Linked DNA regions of Elephas maximus indicus. The protein of the gene in region 2 purifies or fractionates together with the protein of the main gene of each other region. This does not show direct contact. Links are inferred from orthologs where the notes say so. Each region holds a gene or a part of one and is shown on either strand. Other genes may lie near its edges.

Region 1 (7,904 bases), about 57 Mb from region 2:
TTGTATGTATACACCACATTTTGTTTATCCATTCATGGGTTGATGGGCATTTAGGTAGTTTCCACCTTCGGACTATTGTAAATAGTGCTGTAATGAATAATGATATATAAGTATCTTTTTGAGTCTCCGCTTTCGAGTCTTTCGGGTATGTATCTAAGAGTGGAATTGCAGGGCCATATGGTAGCTCTATTTTTAATTTTTTGAGGAACTGCCATACTGTTTTCCACAATGGCTGAACTATTTTGCATTCCTATCAGCAATGGATAAGGGTTCCAATTTCCCCACATCCTCGCCAACATTATTTTCTGTTTTTTTTTTTATCTTAGCCATCCTAGTGGGAATGACATGGAATCTCATTGATTTGCATCTCCCTGATGGCTAATGACAATCTTCGGCATCTTTTCATGTGTTTGGTGACCATTTGAACACCCTCTTTGGTGAAATCTCTATTCAAGTCCTTTACCCATTTGATGATTGGATTGTCTTTTTGTTGTTACTGAAGTTTTATATATATTTTGATTCTCTGCCTTCTTGACCTTCTGATTCCATTGTTAATGGCTGCTCAAGTTTCAGAGTACAGTGCCAAAAATAAAAAGTTACCATTTATTGAGTGGAGCCCTGGTGGAACAGCAGTTAAGAGCTCGGCAGCTAACCAAAAGGTTGGCAGTTCGAATCCACCAGCTGCTCCCTGGAAACCTTATGGGGCAGTTGTACCTTCTCCTATAGGATTGCCATGAGTCGGAATCGACTCAATGGTAATGGGTTTGGTTTTAGGTTATTTTTTGAGTACTTACTATGTGCTCAGCACTGTACTGAGGGCTTTACCTACACTTTCTCATTTAACCTAAATTATAATAGCTAACATTTGTTCAATGTTTGCTGTGGATCAGGGGCACTTAAGAGTTCTTTATATTTTATTCCTTATGATAACCCTAGGAGGTATTACCTACCTGGTTTTACAGACAAGGAAACCAAGGTTCAAAGAGATTAGTTACCGTGCCCAAAGTCACATAGCTGCAAATTGGGAGAAGCTGGATTCAACTCCAGGCACTCTGGCTCCAGAACCTGTACTCTTTCTTTTTTTTTTTTTAATTTTTATTGTACTTTAAGTGAAGATTTACAAATCAAGTCAGTCTCTCATACAAAAACTTATATACACCTTGCTACATACTCCCAATTGCTCTCCCCATAACGAGACCGCCTGCTCCCTCCCTCCACTCTCTCTTTTCGTGTCCATTTCACCAGCTTCTAACCCCCTCCACCCTCTCATCTCCCCTCCAGGCAGGAGATGCCAACATAGTCTTAAGTGTCCACCTGATCCAAGAAGCTCACTCCTCACCAGCATCCCTTTCCAACCCGTTGTCCAGTCCAATCCCTGTCTGAAGAGATGGCTTTGGGAATGGTTCCTGTCCTGGGCCAACAGAAGGTCTGGGGGCCATGACCACCAGGGTCCTTCTAGTCTCAGACCATTAAGTCTAGTCTTCTTATGAGAATTTGGGGTCTGCATCCCACTGCTCTCCTGCTCCCTCAGGGGTTCTCTGTTGTGCTCCCTGTCAGGGCAGTCATCGGTTGTGGCCGGGCACCATCTAGTTCTTCTGGTCTCAGGCTGATGTAGTCTCTGGTTTCTCTGGTTTATGTGGTCCTTTCTGTCTCTTGGGCTCGTAATTACCTTGTGTCCTTGGTGTTCTTCATTCTCCTTTGATCCAGGTTGGTTGAGACCCACTGATGCATCTTAGATGGCCGCTTGCTAGTGTTTAAGACCCCAGACGCCACTTTCCAAAGTGGGATGCAGAATGTTTTCTTAATGGATTTTATGATGCCAATTGACTTAGATGTCCCCTGAAACCATGGTCCCCAAACCCCTGGCCCTGCTACACTGGCCTTTGAAGCATTCAGTTTATTCAGGAAACTGCTTTGCTTTTGGTTTAGTCCAGTTATGCTGACCTCTCCGTATTGTGTGTTGTCTTTCCCTTCACCTAAAGTAGTTCTTATCTACTACCTAATTAGTGAATACCCCTCTCCCACCCTCGCTCCCTCCCCGCTCTCGTAACCATCAAAGAATATTTTCTTCTCTGTTTAAACTATTTCTCGAGTTCTTATAATAGTGGTCTTATATAATATTTGTCCTTTTGCAACTGACTAATTTCACTCAGCATAATGCCTTCCAGATTCCTCTATGTTATGAAATGTTTCACGGATTCATCACTGTTCTTTATCAATGCGTAGTATTCCATTGTGTGAATATACCATAATTTATTTATTCATTCATCTGTTGATGTGCTCCTTGGTTGCTTCCATCTTTTTGCTATTGTAAACAGTGCTGCAATAAACATGGGTGTGCATATATCTGTTCATGTAAAGGCTCTTACTTCTCTAGGATATATTCCAAGGAGTGGGATTGCTGGATTGTATGGCAGTTCTATTTCTAGCTTTTTAAGGAAGCGCCAAATTGATTTCCAAAGTGGTTGTACCATTTTACATTCCCACCAGCGGTGTATAAGTGTTGCAGTCTCTCCACAGCCTCTCCAGAACCTATACTCTTAATTGCTCTGCTGTCTCATCCTGTGAGGCAAGCGGTATTATTATCCCTGGTTTGTAAATGAGGAAATAGAAAAACCAAACTAATGCCATATAACTTGCACAAGATCGCAGTACCAGTAAATAATTCAGTCAGGATTCAAACCTGGTCTCAATGTTAGCTATAATGCCGTGGGTCCCTTACTGTTAGCCATGTCATATGTAAATAGGAGACTCTGCCTATGGCCTTCCTAGGGCACAGTCCCTCTGTTTCTGTCTCAAAAGATGCATGTTTGGGAGAGAACCAGCAGGGTAAGACAAACAACACTGAGTATTCTTTAAGCTCAAGATCTTATTTGTATTATGAGAGAGGTGTGTACAAGTACTAGGAGAACTATTAATGTGGACAGCCTTTGTCACCTTTCTGGGTCTCAATAGCCTCATCTTTAAAGATGGTGAAGAATGGTAGTCTGGAAACAGGGAAAGAGCATGGACTCTGAAGTCAAATAAACCTGGGGTTGAATTCTAGCTCCATTCTTTTAATTATGTGGCCTGTGAAGGCTTAAATAACCTTTCTGGGCCACGATCAGAGCCCTGGTGGTTAAGGGATGGGCTGCTAACCAAAAGGTCAGCAGTTCGAATTCACGAGCTGCTCCCTGGAAACCTTATGGGGCAGCTCTACTCTGTCCTATAGGGTCACTATGTCAGAATTGACGCGTCGGCAGTGGGCTTGGCTTGGATTGGGCCACAATCTCCTTATCAGTAAAATGGAAATAATACCCATCTCATACAGCTATGAGAGCTAAGTAAACTAAGTAACATAAGTTAGGGCAGCACAGAGTTCGGCACTTAAAAGATTCTCAACAGTAGCTGCAGCTCTTAGATTTCCAGGCTACCCCTGTGGGTATAATTTAGTTGGGGTTCCATTCTGTGAGTGGAGAGCCCTCTAGGGTTCACTGGGTGAATCACATCTCGTAGATCTTGGGCTTCTTTTTTTCTTTCACTTATTTCTGGGGTAGAAACGGAGAGAAGGTCAAAGCCTTAAGAGTTCCAAGAGCAGAAATGTGCAATGATCCCAGGGTTACTTTGGGCCATTGTGTGTGATGCTCAGGGTTTTAGGATTTCATTATTTGCGTCTATCCTGAGGCTTTGCTTGGAGAGAACTGAAATCATATTCAGAGAGAAAAGCCAGACTACAGCCCAGCGGGATAGAGACAACAAAGCTGATGATGGGAAAATTGGAAGAAGGCACTAAATACCTCCTGGTATCTAAACATCCTAGAAGTTGCAAGAGTTTTGTTTGTTTTGTTTTTTTTAGAGGAAGCATTATGAACCCATAAGCCCAAAGAAAAACAAAATGAGCACATAATATGGGGTTAAGGAATTCAGTGGAGGAGTGAAGAGGGGGTAATAGGAGGAAGAAAGAAGTGTAAATCCCAAGAAGGCCCAGATCCAGATCCAAAAAGGCAAGGAAATGAGAAAGCGAGGGTCCTACCTGGAATGTGGAGAAAGAATGTTGAGAAAACGGGTACCACAGCCCAGGGATACTTCCCTCCTAGGAGGACTCTGAAATGTGTGGGTTCTTTTTGAGTTGTCACAATAGCTGAGGTTACCGGCATTTACCCCCGAGGGACCAGGGTTGCCTAAAAAGTCCTCCAAAGGGTGGGATAGTCTCGCACAAAGAACTGTCCCGCTCTTGTGAAATACTAGGCTACCCCTGTAACCTAACCCTTAGTTCGTCCATCTTTAAGACGGGGCTAATAATCTCGAACCTCACGTTTTTGCAAAAACGGCTCTCCACAAACGGTTGTAAGTACTTGCTGTTGATATCTAATGAAACTCTTAAATTCTTCCCCTGTAAGCCACAGGCCATGAGAGTCGTTATGACTGCAGTTTCTAATAATTTAAAAAAAAAAAAACAAAAACTTGCAGTGGCGTGGATTCCGACTCACAAGGACCCTGCAGGACAGAGCAGAGCTGTCTCACAGAGTTTCCAAGGAGCCCCTGGTGGATTTGAACATACCAACCTTTTGGTTAGCAGCTGTAGTTCTTAACCACTACACCACCAGGATTTCCAATTTCTAACGAGACCATCATATTCCAGGAAGATTACGCAGCTGAGAACCTCTTGCGGGAACTCAGCCGTCGGAAAACTAACCCCCCGCCCCCGCCCCCGCCCCCGCCCCGTCCGGGTCCCGCCCCTAGCCTACTCAAAAGTTTTGGCGAACCACATTGTCCAGCAGACCCCGCGGCCCGCGGCCTGGCGCAAGCGCTCGCGCCGTGCACTCTGGGACTGGTAGTTCTCATTCTCCCGTTGTCGGCCCTCGCTGCCCGGTGTCTGAAACTCGCCTTCCCAGTTTGCCGCGCGGCCGGGGGCGTACCTCCGCGACCAGGAAACGGGAAAGATGGCGACTGCTTCGCGACGTTGAGGCCGCGTTGGGCGGTTCAGAGTCAGGGTGGTGAGTCCCGGGCGATGGAGGCGGTTCCCAGGAACTTGCAGAAAGGGCGGGAATGGGAGTATGGTGGTGGCACATGCCAAGGGGGTAAAGAATGCCTCAGGGAAGGGACACGAGCCCGAGAAGGTCCTGTGGGCTGGGGCGAAGGGGCGCGGGGCCCCAGGGGCGGTGTTGGCTCCTGGGGGGCATAGGCCAGTCGACGATATTACGGGCCCAGACCTCCGTCCAAGGACACAGCACCTGTGATATGCCCAATCCGACCTTATTCCTTCATATTTCGAGTAGCCCTTGTTCCAGCCAAACGAACTCCAGCTTTTCTCCCAGAACCAATCTATGCTTTCCTGCCTGTGCACCTCCTGTATTATTTCTTTTGCTGGGAATGACATTCTTTCCGTACCCTCAGTTATACATCTTCAAATTCTACCTATAATTAAGACTCAAGAGCCACTACCTCTACAGAGCCTTCCACATCCCCTCTCACAAATGAAAGGAAACTCCTTGTTTGAACTCTCCTTCATCTGAGCCATCATCTTGGCATCTGTCCACTATATGTGTCTTCTCACTTCTGTTGTACTATGAGCTACTTGTGGACAGGGTCTTCCTCATTTCCATTAGCAACTCACACAGTGCCTAGGGTGCCTTGCATATAGGGAATGCTTGATAAAATACTTCATTGAGCGGGTATAACTCTCTAGATTGTAGATACTTGTTATTTTTGGTGATGGGAAGAGTAGCTCTGAATGTGGGTGTAATGAGCACAGCTTGACCAAAGAAAATGATGCCAGTAAGAACCACACAAGAGAAAAGGATATTTATACTAAACAATGTGACATATGTAACTTGGCAACACCAACAATAACCAAAAAGTGAGTGTATGATCACATATGTAGGTGTATAGGTACATTTGTATATAGGTAGGTGCAGATGTATACATATATGTGCACAAATAGAAGTATCTATGTGTATGTGTATATAGAGATAGGTGTGTGCACACATATTCATAGAAGATACTGTTACAGGTACTTCTCAGATGTAACCAAATACTTTGAATGCTTAGGATCTTAGCCTCATGGGACAACTCAGTCAGTTGGCATAATATAGTTCACAAAGTTCATATTCTGCATCCTACTGAGGTGAGTAGCATCTGGGGTCTTAAAAGCTTGCCAGCAGCGGTCTAAGATCCAACTACTGGTCTCTGCTCATCCAGAGCAAAGGTCTCAGAGAAGAAACTAATCTATAGGGTTAGTAGCCTGCAGGAGCCATAGCCTCATCTGCCCTGAGCCTGGAAGAACTATATGGTGCCTGGCCACCATTACCAACCATTCTTATCAGGGCCACAGTAGATGAACCCTGATAGAACAGGACTCAAATTTTTAAGAAGTCCAGTCCTACTGGACCAGTTGAGGCTAGAGGAGTCCCTGAGACTATTACCATGAGATCCTTTATAAACCTTGAATGAAACTATCCTCTGAGGTCACCTTTTAGTGAAATAACAGATTGGCACACAAAATAAAGGACATTATTTGTGAGTATGGTGCTCTATTAAAAAACCGTGTGTATGAAATTAGAAGATCAACAATTAAAGCAAAGATGAGAAGATAAGGGAACAGGGAAACTAGAATACTGGAAATGGAACAACCAGGTGCAATTAAAGAGGATGTTGACACATTGTGAAAAAGGTAACTACTGTCGCTGAGGAATTTGTATAGAGATGATCAAATGGGAACCTAATCTGCTATGTAAACTTTCTCCAAAAACTTAATATAATATTATTAAAAAAAAAAAAACTTCATTGAAAGCAAAAAAGAATCTGCCTCTGTCCTACATGAACTGAGGAATGCCAAGATTTAGAGGTTTGATAGGAGGTTACTTGGAAGCAGTTGGTCAGAGTCAGCCTGATTATCTGACCCTTGTGATAAATCCCACTGCCATTGAGTTGATTCCGATACATAGCTACCCTATAGGACAGAGTAGAACTGCTCCATAGGGTTTCCAGGGCTGTAAATCTTTACGGAAGCTGACTGCCACATCTTTCTCCCTTGGAATGGCTAGTGGGTTTGACTTGCTGACCTTTTGGTTAGCAGCCAAGCTCTTAGTAACCACTGTGCCACCAGGATTCCTATGTGATAAGTAGAACCTACAATAAAAGTTGCCTGTATTCACTGTTTTCGTATTCTCACTTCTCATTCTCTCCTCAGCTCAAACCACTCAGGCTTCTCTTCCCTCCATACCAATGAAAAACAGCTCTTGTCAAGGTCACTAACAATCTCATTTTTCCAAATGCAATGGCCACTTCTCTATCTCCTGTTTTTTTTCTCTACCTCAGTAGTAGTTGACACAGTTGACCGTTCCCTCCTTGAAATACTTTTTTGACTTCTGTGATGCCATGCGTTGCTTTTTGTTGTCCTTTCTTACTGGCTACTGCTTCTTTCCAGTCTTTTTCTCTGGCTCCTCCTCTGCCTGATCTGTAAATGTGGGAGTGTTCCAGAGTTCAGTCCTGAGTCCTTTTCTATTTTCTTTATATTGCCTAAACCAGAAAAAAAAAACCAAACCCGTTGCCATCGAGTAGATTCCGACTCGTAGCGACCCTATGAGATGGAATAAAACTGCTCCAAAGGGTTTCCAAGGAGTAGCTGGTGGATTTGAACCACTGACATTTTGGTTAGCATCCAAGCTCTTAACCACTGCGCCATCAGGGCTCCATTTATATTGTCTGCTTAGGTAGTAATTATCATTTAGTGCCCCGTGGCTTTAAAAATCATCTATGTTTTGGAGACTCAGATTTTTGTCTCCAGTCCTGAACTCTCCCCTGAGTTCCAGATTTGCTTATCCATCTACCTTTCTGGAATCTCCACTTGGTTGTCTTATTAACATCGTATTCTCAACATAGTCACAGTGATACTTCTGATTTCCTCCTAAATCTGTGCCTCC
Region 2 (6,931 bases):
ACTCTTTCATCAAAAACCTGGCTAAAATATTTATAGAAGCTAATTTAACAGACATGCAGTGAGTCCATCCATCCCTTTGTCTGGCCTGTCTTCCCCGTTAAGAAATGCTTTGATTTTTTAATTACTTTGGTATTGTCCCTTTAGCATTCATTAAAAAACATTTCAGGAGTTTCACTTGAGAAACTTCTTTCAGAGCTAAGTGCTGGGAAAAGTTTTGCTTTCTCCAGCATACTCTTTTGTTTCCCTTATGGCATTATGAATCAAATGTCTGAGCTCTTCTTACTTTAACCACGAGGAATCATCTGTGGCTGAACTCTGGGTTAACCCCAAGTCTTGTACCTTGTATATCAGAGTTACAGCATCTTCCCGGCCTTGACTTTATTCCTGATTTTGCTTTATATTTGTCAGTTTCATTGTATGCATTCTGTAAGCCACATTAAGACCTCTGAGGAACAAGGTGGAATATAATAAATACAATTTTATAACTTTTGTAACTCTAGCTTACCTGCATGTTCATATAGCCATCTACAGATACCAGGTAGCCCTTGTACTCCATTCCCCACTTAAGTTTCACCATCACTGGCTTTCCTGTTAATCCGTTCAGGAAAGGTTTGGGATTGAGGGGTAAACTCTGCACAAGGAATAAATAATAACAATAATAAAGGACTCAATTGATTCTTTTCCCTTAGCTTGGCTTCCACCACGCTTTCTTCTCTACCAAATCATCCACCAATATTTTATGTATCCAAGTGATGCAAACTCTTGATTCCCTTTCACTTTTTAAATTGTGAAAATTAATACATAATTTTGACTATTATTTTTTGAAAAGCACCAGGAAAATTTAAACAACCAATCAGCCAGTTTCATCTTCAACTCATCAAAACTTTTAGAAGTTTGTTATTCACTTAAGAAAGACTGTTTCAGGCTCTAAAGAAACAAAGGTGAAGACACTAAAAAAGAAAAAAAACAGCAGATGATATAGTCTCTGTCCTCAAGTAGCTGGCGGGGGCTGGGGGCGGGCGGGATACATACAGATGGACAGATGTACCAAGTGCAGATACACACTGGAGTACTGAACCAATACGGGGGAAAGGTTGCCTGAAATAAGTAATGCCTCAGTTTTAAAGGAAGAGAGGTGCTTCCGGAGAAGAAAAAGGACTGATGTAAAAGCAGCTAAGGGTGTAGCAACAAGGTAAGCTCAAACCAGCTGCCCTAGTCAATTTTGACTCGTGGTAACTGCATGCCAGGCCTTTCTTCTGAGACGCCTCTGGGTGGGTTCGGATCACCAACCCTTTGGTTAGTTGTTGGGTGCTTAACTGAAACCACCACCCAGGGACTCCTAAGGTGACCTCAGAGATATACAAACAATTCAGTGTTGTCAGAGTACCCAGACATGAGGCTACAGAAGCAAGCAGGGGCCAGAACCTTCACTTTAATTTTAGGGGCTAGGATTAGGTCTTATTTGGCTTTGTATTACCAATGCCCAGCAGCGCCTGCTACATATTGTAGGCAATCACTTAAAACCAAAAAAACCAAACCCGCCGCTGTTGAGTAGATTCCAACTCATAGCAACCCTACACGACAGAGTAGAACTGCTCCATAGGGTTTCCAAGGAGCGGATGATGGATTTGAACTGATGACCTTTTGGTTAGCATCCAAGCTCTTAGCCACTGGGCCACCAGGGTTTCACTTAATGTTTGTTTATTCAGCAAAACAGTAGAATCCCCAGTGAATTCAGACTTTTCTCCTTCCCTCATTTGCTTTCCCATCAGCTCAAAGGAAGGAAAGAACCAAGAAACCTAGCTACCCAATCCTTTTAAGATAAGCATATTCAGAGTGATCTCACAGGACACAGGATCTACTGCAATAACCTCCTAATAGGTGTCCAGTTTTCACTCATCTTTCTCCAGTTTATTAACAATACAGCAAGTATTATTATTTTTTAAGGTATATATCGAATGTCACACCTCTGCTTAAAATGCTTCAATAACTTCGAATTGCACCTGAAGTAAAATCCAAACCTACTAAAATGGCCTAAAAGGTTCAGCTCAATGCCTGCCTCTCTGACCCTATCTCATAACTCCTCTTTCCACAAGAAGCACTGTGGCTTTTGGGTCAACTCCTGGAAAATGTCAAGCTTTCTTCCCGGCCTTAAAGGCTTTGCTCCTGTTCCCTGTGCTTGGTACACTCTTTCTCCTGTTCTTTAAGGGACCGTATTTCATGTCATTTAGATGTACCGTCAAATGCCGTCTATCAGGGCAGCCATCCCTGATCACCTATCTAATGTACGAAGCATCCTGTTTGCTTCCTTCTTAGGATTATTTGTAACTGTATGTTTATTTGTTATTATTTGATCAATGCCTGTCTCCCACATCCCACTATGGGTTCACACAGAGCGCAGGGTCCGCATCAGTACTTTTCACCCACCACCTCTGGCGCCTAGAACAGTAACTGACAGGTGGATGCGCACAATAAAGATTTCCGGAACGAATACACGAATGCTTCAAAGCCTGTGCTTTGGGTTCCAGAGGGCTGCGGGCGGGGGGTCCTAACATCTTTGAATCAAAGTGGATTGTGGAGTGTGATACTCAGGAAGTGAAAATGGAGCGTCCCAAAGTCCCGCTTCATCTTTACCCTGGCCCTGTGGCCTCGGTCAGGTAGGAAACCTCAGGCCTGGGTTCAAACGAAGAAGAGCGGGAAAGAGAGCAGGATGCTGGGGAGGGGAGGGCACCGGGAGGCCCTCAAAGTCCCCAACTCAGGGAGAAAGGGACTGGCGGCGAGATTCACGGATTCTCACATGGATGAATGGGGAACGCGCGAAACAACTACCAGGCCTGTCTAGACCGGTCGCTCTCCCTCTCCGGCGACTCACGCCGTTCTCTCCTTACCATCGTGACTACGGGTGAATGGTGTAGGATCCTCGCCGCCGACCCAGCTGTTGTCCGTCCCTCGTGATCGAAGCAGCCGCTCTAGGCCCGGAGTCGCGGCACTCCAAGAGAAATGGCCGCCAAAAAGCAGCGTGACCTTTCACCTCTAACCCAGCCCGTCTGGCTTCTCTGATTGGGCACAAAGAGACGCGTGCTGATTGGAGGAGGTGGCTGTGCAGTGTCTCCTGGCAACCAGCGGCATGCTTTCCGGGCTTCGAGACCCGTGAGGAGTCTTCGGCCGGACTTCAAAGGCTAAGGGACCCGACTCCATCTTCCTCGATGGGGTGGCAGGAAAAGCCTTGTGTTGACTTCCCGCCTGGGAGATGCTATATATCGTGTAGAACGGACGTGATTTCTCGTCAACTTGGCTAATAGAGGTTTCCTTTGCTCTTTCGGCGCAGTGGTAAAGAGCTCGGCTGTTAACCAAAACGGTCGGCAGTTCCAGTCCACCAGCCGTTCCTTGGAAATCCTATGGGGCAGTTCTGCTCTGCCCTGTAGGGTCACTATGAGTCCGAATCGACTCGACGGCAGCGGGTTTGGTTTTGGGTTTTATAGTTTAAGCCAAGCAGTTCTTGGAGTTATTTATCTCAAAGTTCCGTGAGTTTTCTTTTAGTTTGATGATCATTCAATAAATATTTAGCCTTTACGCAGACTTTGAGTTCCTACTTTGGGCTAGGCTCTTTCACAGTTGTTATCATAGAAATCTTCCCAAACAGTATTTTGATTTGGCAGTTACAGCCCTATTTTAGAGATGAGGAAACAGGCTCAGCAGGTAACTTGCCCACTATTCCATAACTGAGTTTCAACCCCCAAACTCTGCTTTTTGACTTACTTAAAGCATCCTTTCAGTCATTCAATATATACCTTAGAAATCTGACTTTGCTGTTTTCTCTGTGAAGTGAAACAGTATCTTACAGTAATCTGTGTAAAGATGTTTGAAGTTGATTTTTTCTCATGTTAAATATTAAATTTAAATACCTTAAAGTCGTTGGTATTTTTCTAATTATAAATGCTGTACATTTTGTGGGGGTCTTAGAAAATACAGAAAATTCTAAAAAATAAACCAAAAGTCACTGATAATCCCACCAATCAAAAAAAAATTAACTTTTTTAATGTACTATTTATTGTAACGCATGCTGTTTTAAAAAATAATCTACATACCGTTTTGTAACTTGTTTTCTTCACTTTATATTGGGAAAATTCTCATATAATTAAATATGCTTCTGAAGTGTGGTTTAATGTCTCCATTATTCTGTTTTGTGAATATGTGATCATTTATTAATCGTTCTGTTGTTTCCATTTTCCCATTATAAATGATGTGCTTTGGACATAATTTTACATGAATCTTTGAATGTATCTCTGATTGTTTACAGTAAATTCCTAGGAGTATAATTCTTGAGTTAATAGGCATTATTATTTTCAAGGTTTTAAAATATATTTATTGCCATATTTGTATGTGGTTCAACAGAATAGCCACCAGAATAATCAGTTTTAATTTGGGGGTAATGTTGTTGTGTGCCATCAAATTGATTCCAACATATAGCAACCCTATAAGGACAGAGCAGAAGTGCTCTATAGGGTTTCCCAGGCTGTAATTTTTACAAATTGCCAGGTCTTTTCTCTCAAGGAGCAGCTGGTGGGTTCGAACCTTTGAAATTTTGGTTAGCAGCCCAATGCTTGACCATTGCACACCAGGGCTCCTCTTGGGGGAAATTTTTCGAGATGGGAAAGAATATATCTTGAGCACATTCTGAGGGAACTTTCCTCAATTATTAATTAGGATGAAACCTAGCTGTAAATAAGCGTCTAAAAAGTAATTTATTAAATGACCAAGATATATTTATTGAGGGTTTACTACAGGCTCCTAGGTGGTACAAACGGTTAACCACCTCACTGCTGACTGATAGGTTGGAGGTTCAAGTCCACCCAGAGGCTTCTCAGAAGAAAGGCCTGACGTACTTCTGAAAAAGTAGCCACTGAAAACTTCAGGGAACACAGTTCTACTCTGACGTGGGGTCACCGTGAGTAGGAATCCATTCAACAGCAGCAAGTACTGATACTGTGAACTAGGCACTCGGGGGGAATAGTGGGGAATGAAATGGACGTGTGATCTCTGCCCTCCTGGAACTTTAAAACCTTTTTTGAAGAAAGGAACTAATACATACTGAGCGCCTGCCATGTTGTACAAGGGTATTTCATGTAATTTATTTTACTTGAGGAGCCCTGGTGGCACAGTGGTTAAGAGCTTGGCTACTAACCAAAAATCGGCAGTTCAAATTCACCAGCCACTCCCTGGAAACTCTATGGGGCAGGTCTATTCTGTCCTATAGGGTCACTATGAGTCAGAGTCAATTCCACAGCGATGGGATCTTACTTAAATCCTCACAGCACTTCGTGGTAAGTATTAATCTTCCCATTTTAGAAATGAGACACATTCAGAGAGGTTAAGTATTTTTGCTCAAGGCCACATAGACTGAAAGTGGCTCCAAAGCCCAGGATTTCTCCTTTATACTTGCTACCTCTCCCCAAACTGAGTTAGAGTAGAGAACAAGTGAGCAAATACATAGAAATACCAATATGAATGCAGGGTGGAGGAAGATAGAGTTTAGGAAGTTACTTTTGAGATTGATGAGCTCTTCCTTTTATATTCTCTCCTTTATTCCCATAATACTCAATATTTTCTTTGTTTATAATTATGGTCAGAATTAATTATCATGGCCAGGATAGGCTTAAGGGGGGGGAAAAATCTGAGTTAGATCAATGGTTTATAAATGCTAGCCCCTAAACCTGGATCGCTCTGCATACAGTATTGGGACTTTGAAAACTGTCTTCGTTATTTAAAAATAAACGAACAAACCCAAAACTTAAAAAATTGTGCAGTTATCTTAATGAATACTGTATGGACTGACTAAAACCTCATGCTTTCTGCTTTTGATTAGAATGAAATCAGAAGGCAAATACTGGTTGATTATCATGGATCAGAAGCTGTAATTGACATTTATATAAATGGGAAAGTAAATTGTCAATAAATGACACTTATTCATAGATTCATTTTAGAGGGAGGGTAGATAATAAGAGAAGCCTTCAAGGCTGGGAATCACTTAACTAACTAGATGACCACTGGAAACCCTGGTGGCATAGGGGTTAAGTGCTATGGCTGCCAACCAAGAGGTTGGCAGTTTGAATCCTCCAGAAGCTCCTTGGAAACTCTATGGGGCAGTTCTCTGTCCTATAGGGTCACTAAGAGTCGGAATTGATTCAACAGCAGCAGGTTAGGTTTAGGTTTAGATGACTAGTGTTAAATATTAACATTAAACCCTTTTCAGTTCTTAGCCATATGTCCACAAGGTGGCAATGGTGTTTTGAGTAACATCTGATTGACCGCCTGGAACTTTGAAGTGAACCTCTATAAATGGAGACCTCACTGTTCTCAAAAAACAAAACGAATAAAACCTGCATCTCATGGAATTCCCCCCCCCCCCCCCCCAGTTTCCTTTGCCTTCAACCTCCTTCCACCTTTCCTCATGCCTCAAATGTCTCCATTGGACCAAATTTTAGAAATAAAGCTGGTTATTCTACCTCTTCGTCTTTTTACCCTGTTGCCAGAGGTATCTCCAAACACCCGCCTCCTCCAAAACAAAATGGAGATCTGGACATTATTGCTCTTCTGCTCACCAACCTTTCTGGTTACCCATTTCTAGCAGCCTTAACAAATCCTTGCCAGCTTTTCTCTATAGATTCATCTCTTTCCATTCTGTCCCACAAACAAAAGCCTTTCCCAGAACCACAGGCCATGTTCTTACACTTGATAGTCCCTTCACCTAAAAGTACTTTCAGCCTGGAAAATTCCTCCGTATCTTAATGTTCCTGGTCCAGCTCAAATGGGTACTTTATAACTGAAGCTTTCGCTGTCTTCCTCAGGTTATTATCCTGTCACATGGGCCTACACAATCTTATCTTGTTTTAACACTAATTGTACTCTATTTTATGGAGCACTGGTGGCA
Region 3 (7,211 bases), on a different chromosome or scaffold from region 2:
TTCTGTATCCTCTTCTGAATTTGGCTTGAATTTCTGGTAGTTCCCTGTCAATATACCGCTGCAGCTGCTTTTGAATGTTCTTCAGCAAAATTTTACTTGCGTGTGATATTAATAATATTGTTCAACAATTTCTGCATTTGGTGGGATCACCTTTCTTGGGAATAGGCATAAATATGGCAGAGAGACTAGCATGGGCAAAATCTTGAGGAGGGTGGGAGAAAAGAAAATTAGGCTTTTGGGGCTTTGTAAAGAGTTCAGCATGAAGCATGGCAGGTTTCATATGCTACGTAAGGAACTTGATTTTACCCAGTAGGCAAACATGGTGGCTATTGGGGAGGGATGAAACTGAAATTTAGGAAGATCACTCTGGGTGCACTGTGGAGCAAGGAATGTGAAGGAGGAAATAGAAAGGCAAGTTATGAGTTTATTATAATTGACCTGAAGGGGAATGATAAGAATCTAAACTGAAGAGTGGCATCAGAAAAGAGATTTGGTAAATACTAATGAATTATGCTGACTAAAAAGTTGGCGGTTTGAACCTACTCAGCAGCTCCGTGGGCGCAAAGACCTGGCACTCCGCTTCTGTAAAGATTACGGCTTAGGTCACATAGGATTGCCATGAGTTGGAATCCACTCAACAGTACAAAACATCAACAAATGAGTTACAATGGCCAGGTCCCACGATTCAAAAGTAGCGCTGAGAGAAAGAAAAGTAAAAAATAACTCCTGGGAGAAATGAAGATCATATGAAGTGAGAGTAGAAAATTAATGAAGCAGAAATGTTAGAATCCGCTGAATGATGAGCTTCAGGGGTTGAGGAAGAAAAGGATTACGGCTCTGTTCCTGGTTTGGACCCATGGGTGGGTTGTAAGGTCAGTAGTCAAAAAGGGAAAACAGGAAAAGAGTAGATTTTGATGAAAAGAAAATGTGTTAATATTTGAGCACATTGAATCTGAGGCGCCTGACAGCCATCCCGGGAGAGATGTTTAGTAAGATTCAGCCAAAATCTAAGGCACGGAATGCTTATGTAACTTATGCAAGGTTACTATTTGGTAATTGCTAGAGACAGGATTTGAATCCTAGCAGTCTTGATGCCACCACAACCCACGTTAACCACTTTATAGCGTTCATCTGTAAGTCATCAGAGTATAGAGACAGAGGCTGAAATCATGGAACAGTAGGTGGAGTGCAAAAGGAACTAAGGACGGAGCCTGGGGAAACTCCAATATTGAAAGGGGAGACAGGTCAGTGGCCCTGAAGACTGAGGTTGGCCCCATGGAAGCCAAAAGGAGAAAAACTTACAAGAATGATGAACTATTATTTAAGAGTCACCTGATGCAGCCAGGTGACAGAATTTGACAATTACAAGGCTTCTGATTCTAGATTACTCAAGGACAGTAGTTTCCCGAGAGGCTAGGGCCAGACTCTGATTGAAAAGAAAATGAGATGAAGTGAAGAGAGGGAGTGCAGCTCCCTCTTCCAAAAAGCTAAGCTGTTGAAGGAATGTCACCTCAGGAGGTTGCCGGAGGAGTATGAGTTTAGCGAGTGTTGTTTTGTTTTAGATAGAAGAGCTTTAAGCATTCTTTCATGCCAGATGTTCATTAATAAAAAATAAAATTCATAAATGGCTTACTAAAACCCTGTAAAAGACTTACTATATTGGTTTGAAACATCTTAAATACAAAGGAATTTTTGCACACTGCCTTCCCTTTCTATATCTTGAGCTTCTGATCACCCCATCAGGCTCTACTGGGTCCACATTGATGGATGTTTTCACCAGACTCCCACCACATGGGTCTTTCTTCTGTTCTTCATACATGCCAAGCTCTTTGCCATCTCAAGGCTTGCCATCCCCTTTGCCTGGAAGCTCTTGTCTTAGCTTGTACATAGCTGGCTTCTTGTCTTTCTTCAGGTCCAATCTTTTGAGAGAGACCTTCCCTGACCAACCTATCTCAAGGCATATTCCTATCTTATTTTCTACCATAGTACTGCATGGTTTCTCTTCTGAGTCCAATCTATAACCACTTCATTTGCTCATTTTTTATTGTGTCTCTCCCACTAGAATGTATGGATCATGATGGCAAGGATGTCTGGCTTGTTCACCTGAGTCTTCAGTCCTTAATACAGTTCCTGGCAAATAACAACGTGCTCAGTAAATATGTTGAATAAACTTAATAACCGAACATCTCCCTCTATTACTTCTTCCATTGCGATCATGCACACTGTTTCTTAAATTCAAGGTCCTTTTCTAACATGTAATAACATACATAATAAAAAAAAAATACCTAATAATTACTGAACTCTCACTGGGTACCACGCACTGTGCTATTAGCTTTATTTGTATCGTTTCACTTAACCTTCAAAATAGTCCTCTCACATATGTAAGTGCTGTTACAATTACCTTCGCTGAACAGACAAGGAAACGGGAGGTTGCATAATTTGCCCAAATTCACGCATTTTAGTTTGGGCAGTTCTGATGTAGCTTTACTCATACTGAGATTGTACTTGCTCTATCTAGGCCACGTCCCAATCCATAAATTCAAATTTCACCGCTTCCCCCCACCCCACTTTCTCAACTGCTTTCTTAGGGCAGGAGATAAAGGCAGGAAACAGTGAAAAAAAATTCCAGTTCTCGATTTCTCTCCAGGAAGACGCATATAGGGAGAAGAAATCCAAGCGTTAGCAATTTCTCTTTCAGTAGTAAGGAAGCGGTAACTCCGGGCTTAAGGAGCCTTCGCGGCTGCCGGGTTTGGGACAAATCCCGCACCGCAGCAGCGGCCAAAGTGCTTACCTTAACTGCCACCTCCGGAGCCGAGTCCACCGCCACTGTCAGAGAGGGCTTGGCAGAAGGCGATTTAGTCAAGTGCATGAGGGAATCGGCGGCTGGCAGCGAACACCGTCCACCCTCACTGTCCGAGTCCGATTCGGACCCTGAACCCGAACCATAGGAAGCAGCCAAAGCTGCAATCGCAGCCGACATGACGGCAACAGATCTTCTGCCGAGACCAGGCCCCGGCGGAAGAAGTGGCACGCAGGTCCTGACAGATTACCATGGAACACATTATTTACCTCGTTTCGCTAAGAAATCATTTATAACATTTTAAAACAACAAATTAATTATTAGTATAATAACCACAGGAGAAATAAAAATTTGGAAACACTTATCTAGAGAAACAGAGACAATTAAATAACTTATAGCTTTCAGGACCTATTTGACTGACTCGGAGACTACCAGTTCCGAAACACCTTGAGGCCTCGAAGTCCTAACTCCCGGCGTGCCGCGCGGCAGGAAGTGGGAGAAGGTACAATGGGAAGTGTAGTTTGGAGTGAGGGGGCGGGGCGCGGAGGGCCGTCCTCTCTCGACCCCGCCCCTGAATAGATGGTTCATTCAATTGGCTATCATCTTCCCTCATTCCCTAGCCAAGCGCTGTTCTCTCCGTCCCCCTCCCCCAAACTGAGGATAGGGCAATACCATACATCCTCAGGAAAGAGGGGAATAGCGATTCTTACCCCCTAGTGATAGGTGAGTGGGCGGAGGCTGAGTTTCCCACAAGGGCTACACCTGGGCGCTGGAGACTGAAGAGGAACGTAAGTCTTAAGTTCGAAGACCTTTATGGGCGGGGAATAGTTCCTGGTGGGAAGGATGGAAGGTTAGATGGATGAGAGTCCAGCCGTCCCCCCTGCTTCTGGCGCGGGTCCCCTCGCCCGGTTGTGGAACGTCGCGCGCGGGGAGGGGGCGGGTGGGGGGGGCGGCGGCGGCGGCGGCGGCGGCGGCGGTTCGCGGTGTTGTTCGCTGGCGCGTCGGGCACACGTTGAGTCCGGCGACCGGCGGACGCCGTAGGCGGCAGTCCCTGTCCCTCTTAGCCTTAGCCGCTGCCGGGAGTGGGTTCCGCCCCAGAGCCCGACATTCCTGGGCGCTCCGGGTGGAGTCCAGGGAGCTCAGCGACTACCGTCGAAGCATGAAGAAGGGGTAAGCAAGAGCCCCCTTAAGATTTCACGGTGAGCGCGAGTCTCTCAGGAATTGCCCTTTTTTTTTTTTTTTAGAGGGTGGGGGTTTTGGGGGTTGCTAGTAGAGGAGCTCCTCAGCATTCGGAACAGAGAGAGGTGTGTGGGGATCTCTAGCCCCTCAAAGGTTACGGGGATGGGCGCGCCTGCCCCCTGCGATGGTCCCCACCCCCACTCGTGGGTTCCCGATCTCCCGCCGCCCACCCGCCCGCCGGGCTGGGTGCTGAGGGAGACGGCGGCGGGCGCTCCTGGGTCTCGGTTGCAGGGGCCGCCCTGGGGTGCTTTAGGTGAAGAGACTGCGGGTCTCACCTGAGGTGCCGTCGCCGGAGCTCCCCTGGCCACCTGCACCCACGGCCAGACCCCGTGCCTCCTAGCTTTGGGGAAGGCTGCAGCACTGGGTCGGGGAGAAGCCCCTGCTGCCTCTACGTTTCCGCTGCTCTGTAAAGCAAGCTTGTGCGTTTGCGTGTTTGTGCCGCTCGTCTGTGTCTAAAGACATAACGGTAAAGCGAGTGGGGGACCCTTTATTCGTTTGAAGAGGATGCGAAACGGGGCAGGCGCCTCGGCAGGGTGTACCTCGGGCAGAGTTAAGGAGCTGCTCGCTCAGCTCCGATGTCGGCAGGACTCGCCCATTGTGCCACCCAGATAATTATTCAACTATGCAGCATCCGTTGCACCTTTCCCATTTTTCTTTTCCCCTTGCTACAGCATGCCCCCTAGCTTCGGCGCCCTGACGCCTTCTCTTGCACTTGAGGAACTGAAATAATGATGAAAAGACAGCACATCTGACCTGAACATTCACGACCTGTCCTATAACCGATTAGTTAGTTAATCCCTAGCTACACTAGGTATTTTAACATGGCTCAGTTTAATCCTATCCCTTTCTATGTAAGATGTGCATTACAATATACTTTTTTTCTTTAGTGTTAGATTCACGTGCTGGTTAAATCTTATTTCTGTTCAGCAATTGATTTATTGCTTATTCAGTACGTCTTATTTAACGTACTTTATTTTGGATGTTAGGTAACTTCCATTTTCTAATTGTTGATAGCACTACATTTATCCTATTTACAAGTGCAGTATTTACGAACACATGAACTCTAACAGTTTTGTTGTATGCTCCAAGCTTCTTTTGGGAAAAGTTTTTTTTTTTTTTTAATTTGTCAAATTTGTGAATAAGGTATTTGATACACAATTTCTCTAATTTTGATTAAGAAAAGTTTTGTATTTTCAGTAGGAGGATATTTGATTGCTAATAGTTTCCAGTTGAATGAAAGGGAGGATTTAATATTTAAGATGGGATTTTAACTGCCGTATTGAACGTTCCCTAATTTACTTAATTTTTTTTTTATTCAATTCTTTTCTTTGGCAATGTCATGCATTTAATTACTTCTTACAGAATTTACCGTTATTTTTCTAACTTCTGTCTACAAGGATGGATAGGCTTCTTTTTATGTGATCTACCTGAAAGATGAAATATTTTTTGAAACTGTAAGAAACAACTGTTGGTTACTTGATGATTATGTTAAAAAAAATATACATGTTGTTATTTAAAGTTTTTCACTGCTCCAAAGTGAGTGTTTTTATTTTCTTAGTCCTCTTTTTCCAGCTTTCATTGTTTAATCTTGTTGAATTAATCCTTCACACTTCTGATAAAATGAAATTGTACATAGGTATTGCAGAGGCAGTTCTTTTAAGGTACAGTAAATTGTTTTTTGGCACTTGGAAGTGGCAAATGTATAATAAAACTTGATGGTGTAGGCTCAGGTTCTTGGTTAGGAAATGACCTTGCAATTTACAAAATGGACACCTTTGTGCCTTGGTTTCCTTACAGGTAAATGAAGATAATACTGATTTACATGACTAGATAGTGTGAATAAATTCAGTAAAGATGTTTTCATAATACATTTAAAGAATATTTGAATATTTTAGTTGATGACTAATGAAAATAGCTCAGTGTAAACTGCAATGAAAAATGTCATAATTTTCCTTCATACATTGGAATGCCTCATTTACGTTGAATTTTGCTTTGGAGAGGAATGGCTCTAAAATGAAGGGTGTTTCTCATCCATCAAGAGTTTTTTTAGGTTTACTGATCTATGTGAAAATAGTTAATATTAATGAAAAAATTATATGACTTGGTAATGAAACAAGTAAAACATTGAGTAAGTTTGTGAAAGATAAAATTTATAAAAAATCTTAAGATCTTTTTCATTGCAAATTTTTCAGGTTAGAAAATCCAGAATACGTAGTTGTGATCATTTGTAAGGTATGATATGGAGCTACTGTTTCTGTTATTCAGGTTTGTAAATAACCGTAGATTCAGAGACAATGTGTTAATATTGCATAAGGCTGTAACCATACATTTTACTTTATCATAAGAATACTTTATGAAATCCTTTCTCTTTGATTTTCATTACCACAGTAGACAGGAGTACTTTAAGATATCTTTTCTCAGTGTTTGGTTTTTATTACTATAGAAGATAGTAATTTTTGATTTGCTTATTGAAGAATTTAACTCAATTTTCATAGCAAAAACTACTATTAAAATACTACATTATAAGTACTTTTACCAAAAGTGTTTTCAGTTACCTAATGGGAAAACTTCACATAAATAAGACTATTAAAATGTGTCTTTAAAATTACTACTTGTAATTTCTTTTTTGTGAATTAATTTAGATTTATCAAACAAATTTTAATTTCTGGAACATCATATAGCTTTATCTCAGAGAAGAGAAGGGAAGAATGTATTTGGGGCTCTCTGAACTTCACTTACCTCTTCAGATATAGTTCATAATTACTTTACCCACACATTTTTAAAAATAGCACTAGATACTGAATAATGTAAAAATAGGCAACTTTCACTTGTGGAATGATATTAACAGTTTTATTCTCACCCCTTATATCTCACTTCATAAAAATGTACATTAATTTTTTTGTTTTACCCAAATTTGATCAATATAGAAATTTGTTTCTTTTTTGACTTATCTTATTTTCAAGCAATCTATTAATAAAAATATGTATGTTAATTAAATCCTGTGTTAAATGTCTGAATTGTTATTGGCTGCTGTTGAGTTGGTCCCCAACTGATCAATAGGGTTTCCATTGCCTGATTTTTGGAAGTAGATCACCAGGCCTTTCTTCCTAGTCTGCCTTAGTCTAGAAGCTCCACAAGCCTCCACTTATAGACTAGTGGTGGTTACAAATGA
Region 4 (7,801 bases), on a different chromosome or scaffold from region 2:
TAAACCCATTGCCGTCAATTCTGACTCATAGTAAGCCTACATGACAGAGAAAAACTACCACCATAGGGTTTCAAAGGCTGTATTTCTTTATGGCTGCCACATCTTCCTCCTGTAGAGTGGCTGGGTGGGTTTGAACCTCCAACCTTTCAGTTAGCAGCTGAGTGCTTTAATCACTGTGCCACCAGGGCTCCTCCACAAATGACAAACATATCTTATCCTGGACTCCAGAATTCCAAGAAAAAGAAGCCCCTGTGAAGGTAATCTAAATTAGAAGAGCTATACTGGGAAAAGCAAAATGAAAATTAGTATGCTTGAGATTATAATATTTGATTTTTTAAATATATACCTATGCAATACACTTGCATATCTATACGCTATCACTGGAAGAATACATGAGAAACTGTTAAAAGTGCCTCTGGGGAGTGGAACTGGGTGGCTGGGGACAGAGTAGAAGGAAACTTTTCACTGTGTCCCCTAAGTATCTTTGGCATTTTATAACATACATACATTACCACTTCAAAAAATGACTTTTTAAATTTTAAATTCTTTAAGTAAAATAAAAAAAGAGTATTTTAATCAACCTAAAATGCAAAACTTTCCAATATTTAGGCTCAAAATCTTATCTAATCCTGTACAGACCTATCTAGGCTAAAGTGTGCTTCTGGAGCCCCAACGAACTAGATAAAATTATGGATCGTTGTTGAATTAATAAGATGTAGTAAATCTATAAGAAGTGATGTATAATTAAAAAAATAATAACAAGTTGCCCTTGAGGACATCCAATTTCTTAGATTTAGAAAATCTATAGAGGGTTGGCTGTACAGAGACTACAGGCAGATTTATTTTATCAGCTAGTTTGCTGTTTTTATTTCATCTCTATTCTCTCTCTAATCCTTCTTCTCACTGTACAAGAAATGTTAATGGCATTTCAGTTTCTTTTGGTCATCTGTTAGATTCCATGTGACCTCACTCCCATGTGGCCTTACCTGATCAGATGGGGTGTCTACACCTGACCCAAGGGCAACTCATTGAAAACATGAGTACAACTAATTAGAGTACTTTGTTGGGAATTTAGAATTTGCAAAATTGAATACTAGAGTTATTATTGTTGGGAACTCCAGGCAACAGGTGAAGAGCAGTGTGGTCAAGTAGATCATGCAGGGTCAGAAGAGATGGAGCCATACATGCACGTGTAAGTGAACAGGCAGAAAGACAAACTGCAAAGGAGAATGGAGCATGCGGGAAGAGAGGATGAGAGACAGAAGAGGGACAGAATGAGAGGAAATAAGAGTGAATGTACACTTTTGGCTCCCAGTCCCTGGTCTCTGCTCTCTTGAGGTCAACTACACTTCAGTCTCTTTCTTTTGGTCTCTGTGAGATTCTTCTGAATCCTTGCAATAAACATTTTGTTTCTTATACCGAAAAAAAAAAAAAAAGTTGTCCTTGAGTTGATTCTAACTCACAGCGACCCCATGTGTATCAGAGTAGAACTGTGTTCCATAGGGTTTCCAATGGCTGGTTTTCCAGAAGTAATTGCCAGGCCTTTCTTCCAAGGCACCTCGGGGTGGATTCAAATTTCCAACTTTTTGGTTAGCAGCTTACTGCATTAACCATTTGCACTACCCCTTAATCTAGATTGGGGGTATGATGAAGAACATTACTTTTAAAGAAAAGCTCTAACCTGATCCAAAGAGAATGGAAAGCCAGAGAGTCACTTTCTGACACTGTTCCTCTGTTTCAGACGAATTCTTCCACAATAACAAATATTAAAAGCTAATAGAGAGAGAGAGAAAAAATAGACAGTTGACAAATATACAAAATGACTGTAGGCACTAGACTCCGGAATAACATTTGAGGTTTTAATTTGTTTTCTCACCTTAGATGAAAAGGTAAGGAAACAAAAAAATTCAACAAGGCTTTATGTAAGAAAGTAAAAGAACCAGGATAGTTCCATAAACACAATCTCACCCACTCGACATATAAAAGAGGGTGAATAAGCAGAGGGAAAGAACTTACAAAGAAATAATAAAAGAAGGGTGAATGAGGCTCTCCAAAAACTAGAAACAGCTTTCTTTCACTTAGAACACTAAAAATTATCACATTCATTTCTAAATGAAATCACCTAGCGTGGCGGTTCTCAAAGTACGGTCCAAAGACCCCTGGGAGACTCCTCCCTTTTCCAGTTATATATCTGTGTTAGGTTGGATTTTCTCATATACTTCAACCAAAACAAGATGTCAGGTTGAATACGGAAACATGAGAATCCAGCTGTCTTCTAATAAGGCAGACACAAAAGAGATTTGCAAAAATATAAAACAATGCCATTCTTCAAACTAAATTTTCTTTTGTTTTGGAAAATGTATTTTTCATTAAAAATGTTAATTATGGTAACATGTAATGGGTTTACGGAGCCCTGGTGGTGCAGTGGTTACAACCCCAGGCAGCTAACCAAAAGGCCAGCAGTTCGAATCCAGCAGTTGCTCCTTGGAAACCCTATGGGGCAGCACTACTCTGTCCTATAGGGTCGCTATGAGTCAGAATCAACTCGATAGCAACAGGTTTGGTTCCTTTTTGGTTAATGGGCTTATGATTGTTATTTTTAAATTAATTATTAAGTAAATATTTTTAAATTTTCTATTTTAATTTCTAGTATTTCAATACGAATAGTTATAAACCATATAAACAAAAGCTTTCTGGAGTCCTCCACAATTTTTAGGAGGACAAAAAGGTTCTGAGACCAAAAAGTTTGAGAATTGCTCTAGCTAAATAATTCAGTCTTGCAACATTTCTCAAAAAACTTTAATCCTCCTCTACCCCATTTAGAATGTGCTCAAAATTTACAAACAATAAAACTGTTCCCTCCTTATATTATGTCTGGAATCCTGGGTCTAAAAGAACAAAGGTAAACCTTAGAGTTGTCCTCTAACACACACTCCAGAGCCTAAAAGACATTAAAAAAAAAAAAAAGAAAAGCCTATATTTAAAGCTTCTTTAAGCCTGAGTCTAATTTTCTTCAGCCTGTATGTCTAATGGCATGTGTACTCCTGCTTATTTTCATGCCTGGATAACTAGTACTGGTTTTTATCTCTTTTTGTGCTCAACAGGCATGATCTGAAACAAAACTTTTTAACAAGAAAGAAAAAGAAACAATAAAGATTCCAGCTACCCTTACTGACCATTATACATGTAACAAGGTATTTACTGTCGCATCTAATAGTACCTGCCTGAACTAAACTTTGTACAGAATCTTATAAAGAAATTAATGGTGAACTAAAACCTCCTGATTCAGAGAGTGCAAGAGAGCACAGACATGGCCACTTACCATGGCCACTTATCACCAAAAGAATCTTTCGGGGACTGCTGATATCTTTTATATTCTTCCTACCACAGACGCACACATTTCCCAAACTGGTACCGACCTCAAACTAGCATTGTTGTACTTAAAGGAGCACATCCCCGTAAAACTCCCAGATCCCCACACCATTGCCCCTCAGAGGGTGTCAAGGTTTGGAACCGAAAATGCCTAATTCCCCCTTGAGAAACCAAAGACAAGAACTTTGAAGGATCTGTATTTTTGCTCTCTCGCCTCACCAATTTCTCTCAGGGACAGCAATGAAGACCTGACATATCGCACAGTTAAATATCCTTAACTCTCCTCAGAAAGTACTGTATAGTGGCTTTCTAGCCTCTCTTCCACATCAAGAATCCTACCAGGAGGGAATTTCTCCTCAGCTAACCCTACTGCTGAGGTATCAGGATTCTTATTCCCGCTCAGATCGTCGTTGCCCCCCATTACACTGTGGCATTTTTGTTTGTGTTGAGGGTGAGGTTCAAGTTAGATTCTAAAGCGGAGGGGTAAGAGCTGGTTGTCGCCCTGAAGAGACAGCTTCTCCTCAGACAACAGGTACTGGGATCGCCCGCGCCTAGCAACTGCATCTGCAACCTAAGAAGAGTCTAATACCTTCTAGAGCGAGGAGCACCTAAAAGCAAGCAGTAGAGTGAGCACCTGCAGCGATTATGCAAGCCCCTACAACCTGGATCCAGTTTTCCCGCCACGAAGAAAAGGCGCGAGGACGCGCACAAGCTCCACCCCCCCAGCGGCGTGCTCACGAGGCCGAAGCGCATGCGCAGCTGAAAACGGCTTCTGCGCTTGCGCGCGAATTATTGCCGCCATTTTCCAATCTGTAAAACTACAAGTCCCATAATGCTCACTGCTTCACCCGTGTTTTAGGAGGCGGTAGCAGCGCCTGATTGTTCCTGAAACACTTCTTTCTTCTATTATCTTTCCTTCCCACTCTGCCTTGTCCTTCTTCTTTGCTTTTCCTGATGCCTATTCTTCCTGTTAGGCCCCTTCACGACCTTATTTTAACACTTTCAGCCTATCCTTAGCCCCACTCTCCGCCTCTTCTCAGCCATAAGACCTGCATCCCCAAGCACTCTGTTGGGAAAGAAAACGGGCCACCTATCACCCTGTGGAAAGAGCGTCAAATAACTTTCCCTCATTGGCCGAGACAAGGGGCCCCAAAGCAGGCCGATTCCTCTTCTCCGCCCACACACGTTTTTATATAAGGCGGCGCGAAGCCGCAGCGTGCGTTTGGGAAGGACTGCGTGCGAGGTGGTGTTGGTGGGTGTACTGCTATTGGTGGGTGTACTGCTATTGGTGGGTGTACTGCTATTGGTGGCTGTGGTGGGCGTCGGGCTGGTGGGCTCGTGCGCAGGCGTCGGATGGCGGGCGGGGGCGTTGGTGTCCGGACTGTGGGTGTGGAGGCGGAGAGGAGGGCGGGGTGTACCTAGGTGATCGCGATTGGGGGAACGCGGAGGAGCGAGAACCACTCAGCCATTTCGGCACAGGAGGAAGTTGGAAAACCTTGGCTTTTTTAGTGTTGTTTTTCAGTCCAGCAGAGAGTATTTTCGGGGGAGGGGGGTGAGTTAAAATGATCTATTGCATATTACTGAGAACAGTTCGTAGGAAGGCGATCAGTACACTCCGATCCTTCCCTTCCTCTACCTTTAGGTTCACTCCTCGGCTCCCTCTGAAGCCCTAAGGGGATGGGCTAAGGGGGCAATTCGTTATGAATAATTCATGAGCCCGCCCCTTTTCTTAAGAAGCCACGCCTTTCCGAGCTGCGCTGACGCACGTTGCGTGTCCCAAACCTGAGGAAGCGACGTAACAGTCCCCGCCCATAGGACGGAGGGCGGGGTGTCGTCTCCAGCACGTGCTGCTTCTACCCGCGCAAGCCCAAAAGGGTGTGCGCAGGCGCTTCTCACTAGGGGAGGAAGGAGGCGGGGTGGGGAGGTTGTTGGGTTGAGCGCCGGGCGGAGACCGCTGAGACTCATTCCTCAGGAACAAGGGTCGTGTGTGAAGGAGACCTTTTCACACCAGCTCCCCGGCCCCCGCCTACGGTGGGTGGGATCGCGCGGCAGAGACAAAGGATATCAGTAGGGACGGACATAGCCACGAAGGGAAGTAGGGTGTCAGCTTGGGGCGGTGGGTTTTTGGGGGGCTAAGGGAGAGACTATATTTAAACTCCCTGGAGCCGTTAAGTTGGTTCGTACTCCGATGCGCGCGCAACCAGGGTGGTGGCGGTGTGCGCATGCGTGATTCTGGGGCCAGGGGAACGCGCTTAAGTAGTGCGCGCTCGCGATTAGGTGGTAGTGGTGGAGGAGAAAGGGGTCGGCGCAAGCGCGGTTGGTTTCTCGAGTTCGGGTCTCGCGGGCTTCTTGTTTTGGTCTCGCGGGCGAGCAGGGAGCGAGACTAGGCGAGAAGAGCAGAGCTGCGTGCGCACTCGGGAAAGGGGGGAAGGGAGCAGGGTCTAGGAAGGGGGGTGAAGCCCCCTGATCCCCCCTCGTTACCCTCGGCTGGGACGGAGTAAGGGGAGGAAATGATCGAGATGGCAGCGGAGAAGGAGCCGTTTCTGGTGCCGGCCCCGCCGCCGCCGCTCAAAGATGAGTCGAGCGGAGGGGGCGGCCCCACGGTGCAATCGCACCGAGAGGCCGCCTCCGGGCACCTCCGCGGCCGGACAGAACGCGGGCCGGGCCCCCGCGTACAGTCGGCGGGGGCCCCGGCTTTAGGGGTTGGCAGGGAGAGCCCCGGAGCTGCATCCGCCCCTCGAGCGGGCCAGTCGCAGCAGCAGCAGCAGCGAGGGGGCGGCCCCCAGGCACAGTCTCACGGGGAGGCCCGCTTGTCGGATCCCCACGGGCGGACCGCTCACTTGGACGTGGGGGAGGAGCGACGGGGAGGGGGCGGGCCAGAGCTGTGTACCCCTGCCCCTCCTCGGCCTCGTAATGGCTACCAGCCCCACAGGCCCCCTGGGGGGGGTGGAGGCAAGAGAAGAAATAGTTGTAATGTGGGGGGAGGTGGCGGAGGCTTCAAACATCCGGCCTTCAAGAGGCGCAGGCGAGTTAATTCGGACTGTGACTCTGTGTTACCCTCCAACTTCCTACTGGGGGGCAATATCTTTGATCCACTGAACCTGAATAGTCTTCTGGATGAGGAAGTGAGCCGCGCACTCAATGCAGAGACCCCTAAGTCATCCCCACTTCCGGCCAAGGGGCGTGATCCAGTGGAGATCCTCATCCCCAAAGATATTACTGACCCCCTCAGTCTCAATACTTGCACTGATGAGGCCCAAGTAGTTCTTGCCTCACCACTCAAGACTGGTCGGAAGCGGCATAGACACCGGGGACAGCACCATCAGCAGCAGCAGGCATCTGGAGGAAATGATAGCCACTCCTCCGTGCTTCCCCCAGCCCCCCTCACTCCTTCACTTCATGGGGAGGGCGCCACGCAGCAGCAGCAGCAGCAGCAGCAGCAGCAGCAACGGCATAGAGGCCAGAGCCGGGATGCCCCGCAGCCCTATGAACTCAACACAGCCATCAACTGCAGGGATGAGGTGGTGTCTCCCCTTCCAACTGCCCTACAGGGTTCCACAGGCTCCCTTTCAGTCCCTCCAGCTGCCTCAGTTACCCCTGCACCCCCGTCTTCCTCCTCTCGACATCGCAAACGTCGCAGGACTTCCAGCAAGTCGGAGGCAGGGGCCAGGGGTGGAGGCCAGGGTCCCAAAGAAAAGGGCCGAGGGAGTGGGGGAGGCCGCTACCACCACCACCCTCTCCCTGCAGCAGGCTTCAAAAAGCAACAGCGCAAGTTCCAGTATGGGAATTATTGCAAATACTATGGGTACCGCAATCCTTCCTGTGAGGATGGTCGCCTTCGGGTGTTGAAGCCTGAGTGGTTTCGGGGCCGGGACGTCCTAGATCTGGGCTGCAATGTGGGCCATCTGACCCTGAGCATTGCCTGCAAGTGGGGCCCATCACGCATGGTGGGCCTGGATATCGATGCTCGGCTGATCCACTCTGCCCGCCAGAACATCCGACACTACCTATCTGAGGAGCTGCGTCTCCCACCCCAGACTCCCGAGGGGGACCCAGGGGCAGAGGGTGGGGAAGGGACCACCACCATCCGGAAGAGAAGCTGCTTCCCAGCCTCGCTGACAGCCAGCCGAGGTCCCATTGCTGCACCCCAAGTGCCCCTGGATGGAGCGGACACATCAGTCTTCCCCAACAATGTTGTCTTCGTCACGGTAAGAGGGTCTTAAGTGCATTAACTCCTCACTAGGAGAACCAGATCCTCGAGAAGGGTCTGAATTAGCGAGTGAGTGCCTCCACTGGGTGTCTCTCCCTGCCTGTAACCTGGGAGAGGTGGGGTCTCTAACCTGGGGTCCTTTCTCCTGACTGCAGTTCTCTTTCCCAAGACAGTGGTTGACTCGTTTTGCCCTGCTTCCAGCCTGGGCTATGTCCAGCC

What was found.
Region 1: the proteins of SNRPF (region 2) and DDX23 purify together in Homo sapiens (co-immunoprecipitation; 3 studies listed by BioGRID and IntAct, counting the BioPlex papers as one, with this or other methods). This does not show direct contact. The link is inferred for Elephas maximus indicus from reciprocal best matches to the Homo sapiens genes SNRPF and DDX23.
Region 3: the proteins of SNRPF (region 2) and CDC40 purify together in Homo sapiens (co-immunoprecipitation; 3 studies listed by BioGRID and IntAct, counting the BioPlex papers as one, with this or other methods). This does not show direct contact. The link is inferred for Elephas maximus indicus from reciprocal best matches to the Homo sapiens genes SNRPF and CDC40.
Region 4: the proteins of SNRPF (region 2) and MEPCE purify together in Homo sapiens (affinity purification with mass spectrometry; 4 studies listed by BioGRID and IntAct, counting the BioPlex papers as one, with this or other methods). This does not show direct contact. The link is inferred for Elephas maximus indicus from reciprocal best matches to the Homo sapiens genes SNRPF and MEPCE.

The regions. Positions count from the first base shown.
Region 1 is NC_064822.1:104,287,642-104,295,545, reverse strand, and holds the start of DDX23 (probable ATP-dependent RNA helicase DDX23), read left to right. Parts: upstream 1-4,885; 5' UTR 4,886-4,976; intron 4,977-7,904. UniProt on the Homo sapiens protein: Involved in pre-mRNA splicing and its phosphorylated form (by SRPK2) is required for spliceosomal B complex formation.
Region 2 is NC_064822.1:161,191,563-161,198,493, reverse strand, and holds the start of SNRPF (small nuclear ribonucleoprotein F), read right to left. Parts: upstream 3,022-6,931; 5' UTR 2,892-3,021; coding exon 2,889-2,891; intron 632-2,888; coding exon 506-631; intron 1-505. UniProt on the Homo sapiens protein: Plays a role in pre-mRNA splicing as a core component of the spliceosomal U1, U2, U4 and U5 small nuclear ribonucleoproteins (snRNPs), the building blocks of the spliceosome.
Region 3 is NC_064819.1:176,117,249-176,124,459, reverse strand, and holds the start of CDC40 (pre-mRNA-processing factor 17), read right to left. Parts: upstream 3,022-7,211; 5' UTR 2,981-3,021; coding exon 2,792-2,980; intron 1-2,791. UniProt on the Homo sapiens protein: Required for pre-mRNA splicing as component of the activated spliceosome. Plays an important role in embryonic brain development; this function does not require proline isomerization.
Region 4 is NC_064830.1:91,844,396-91,852,196, forward strand, and holds the start of MEPCE (7SK snRNA methylphosphate capping enzyme), read left to right. Parts: upstream 1-4,783; 5' UTR 4,784-5,882; coding exon 5,883-7,580; intron 7,581-7,801. UniProt on the Homo sapiens protein: S-adenosyl-L-methionine-dependent methyltransferase that adds a methylphosphate cap at the 5'-end of 7SK snRNA (7SK RNA), leading to stabilize it.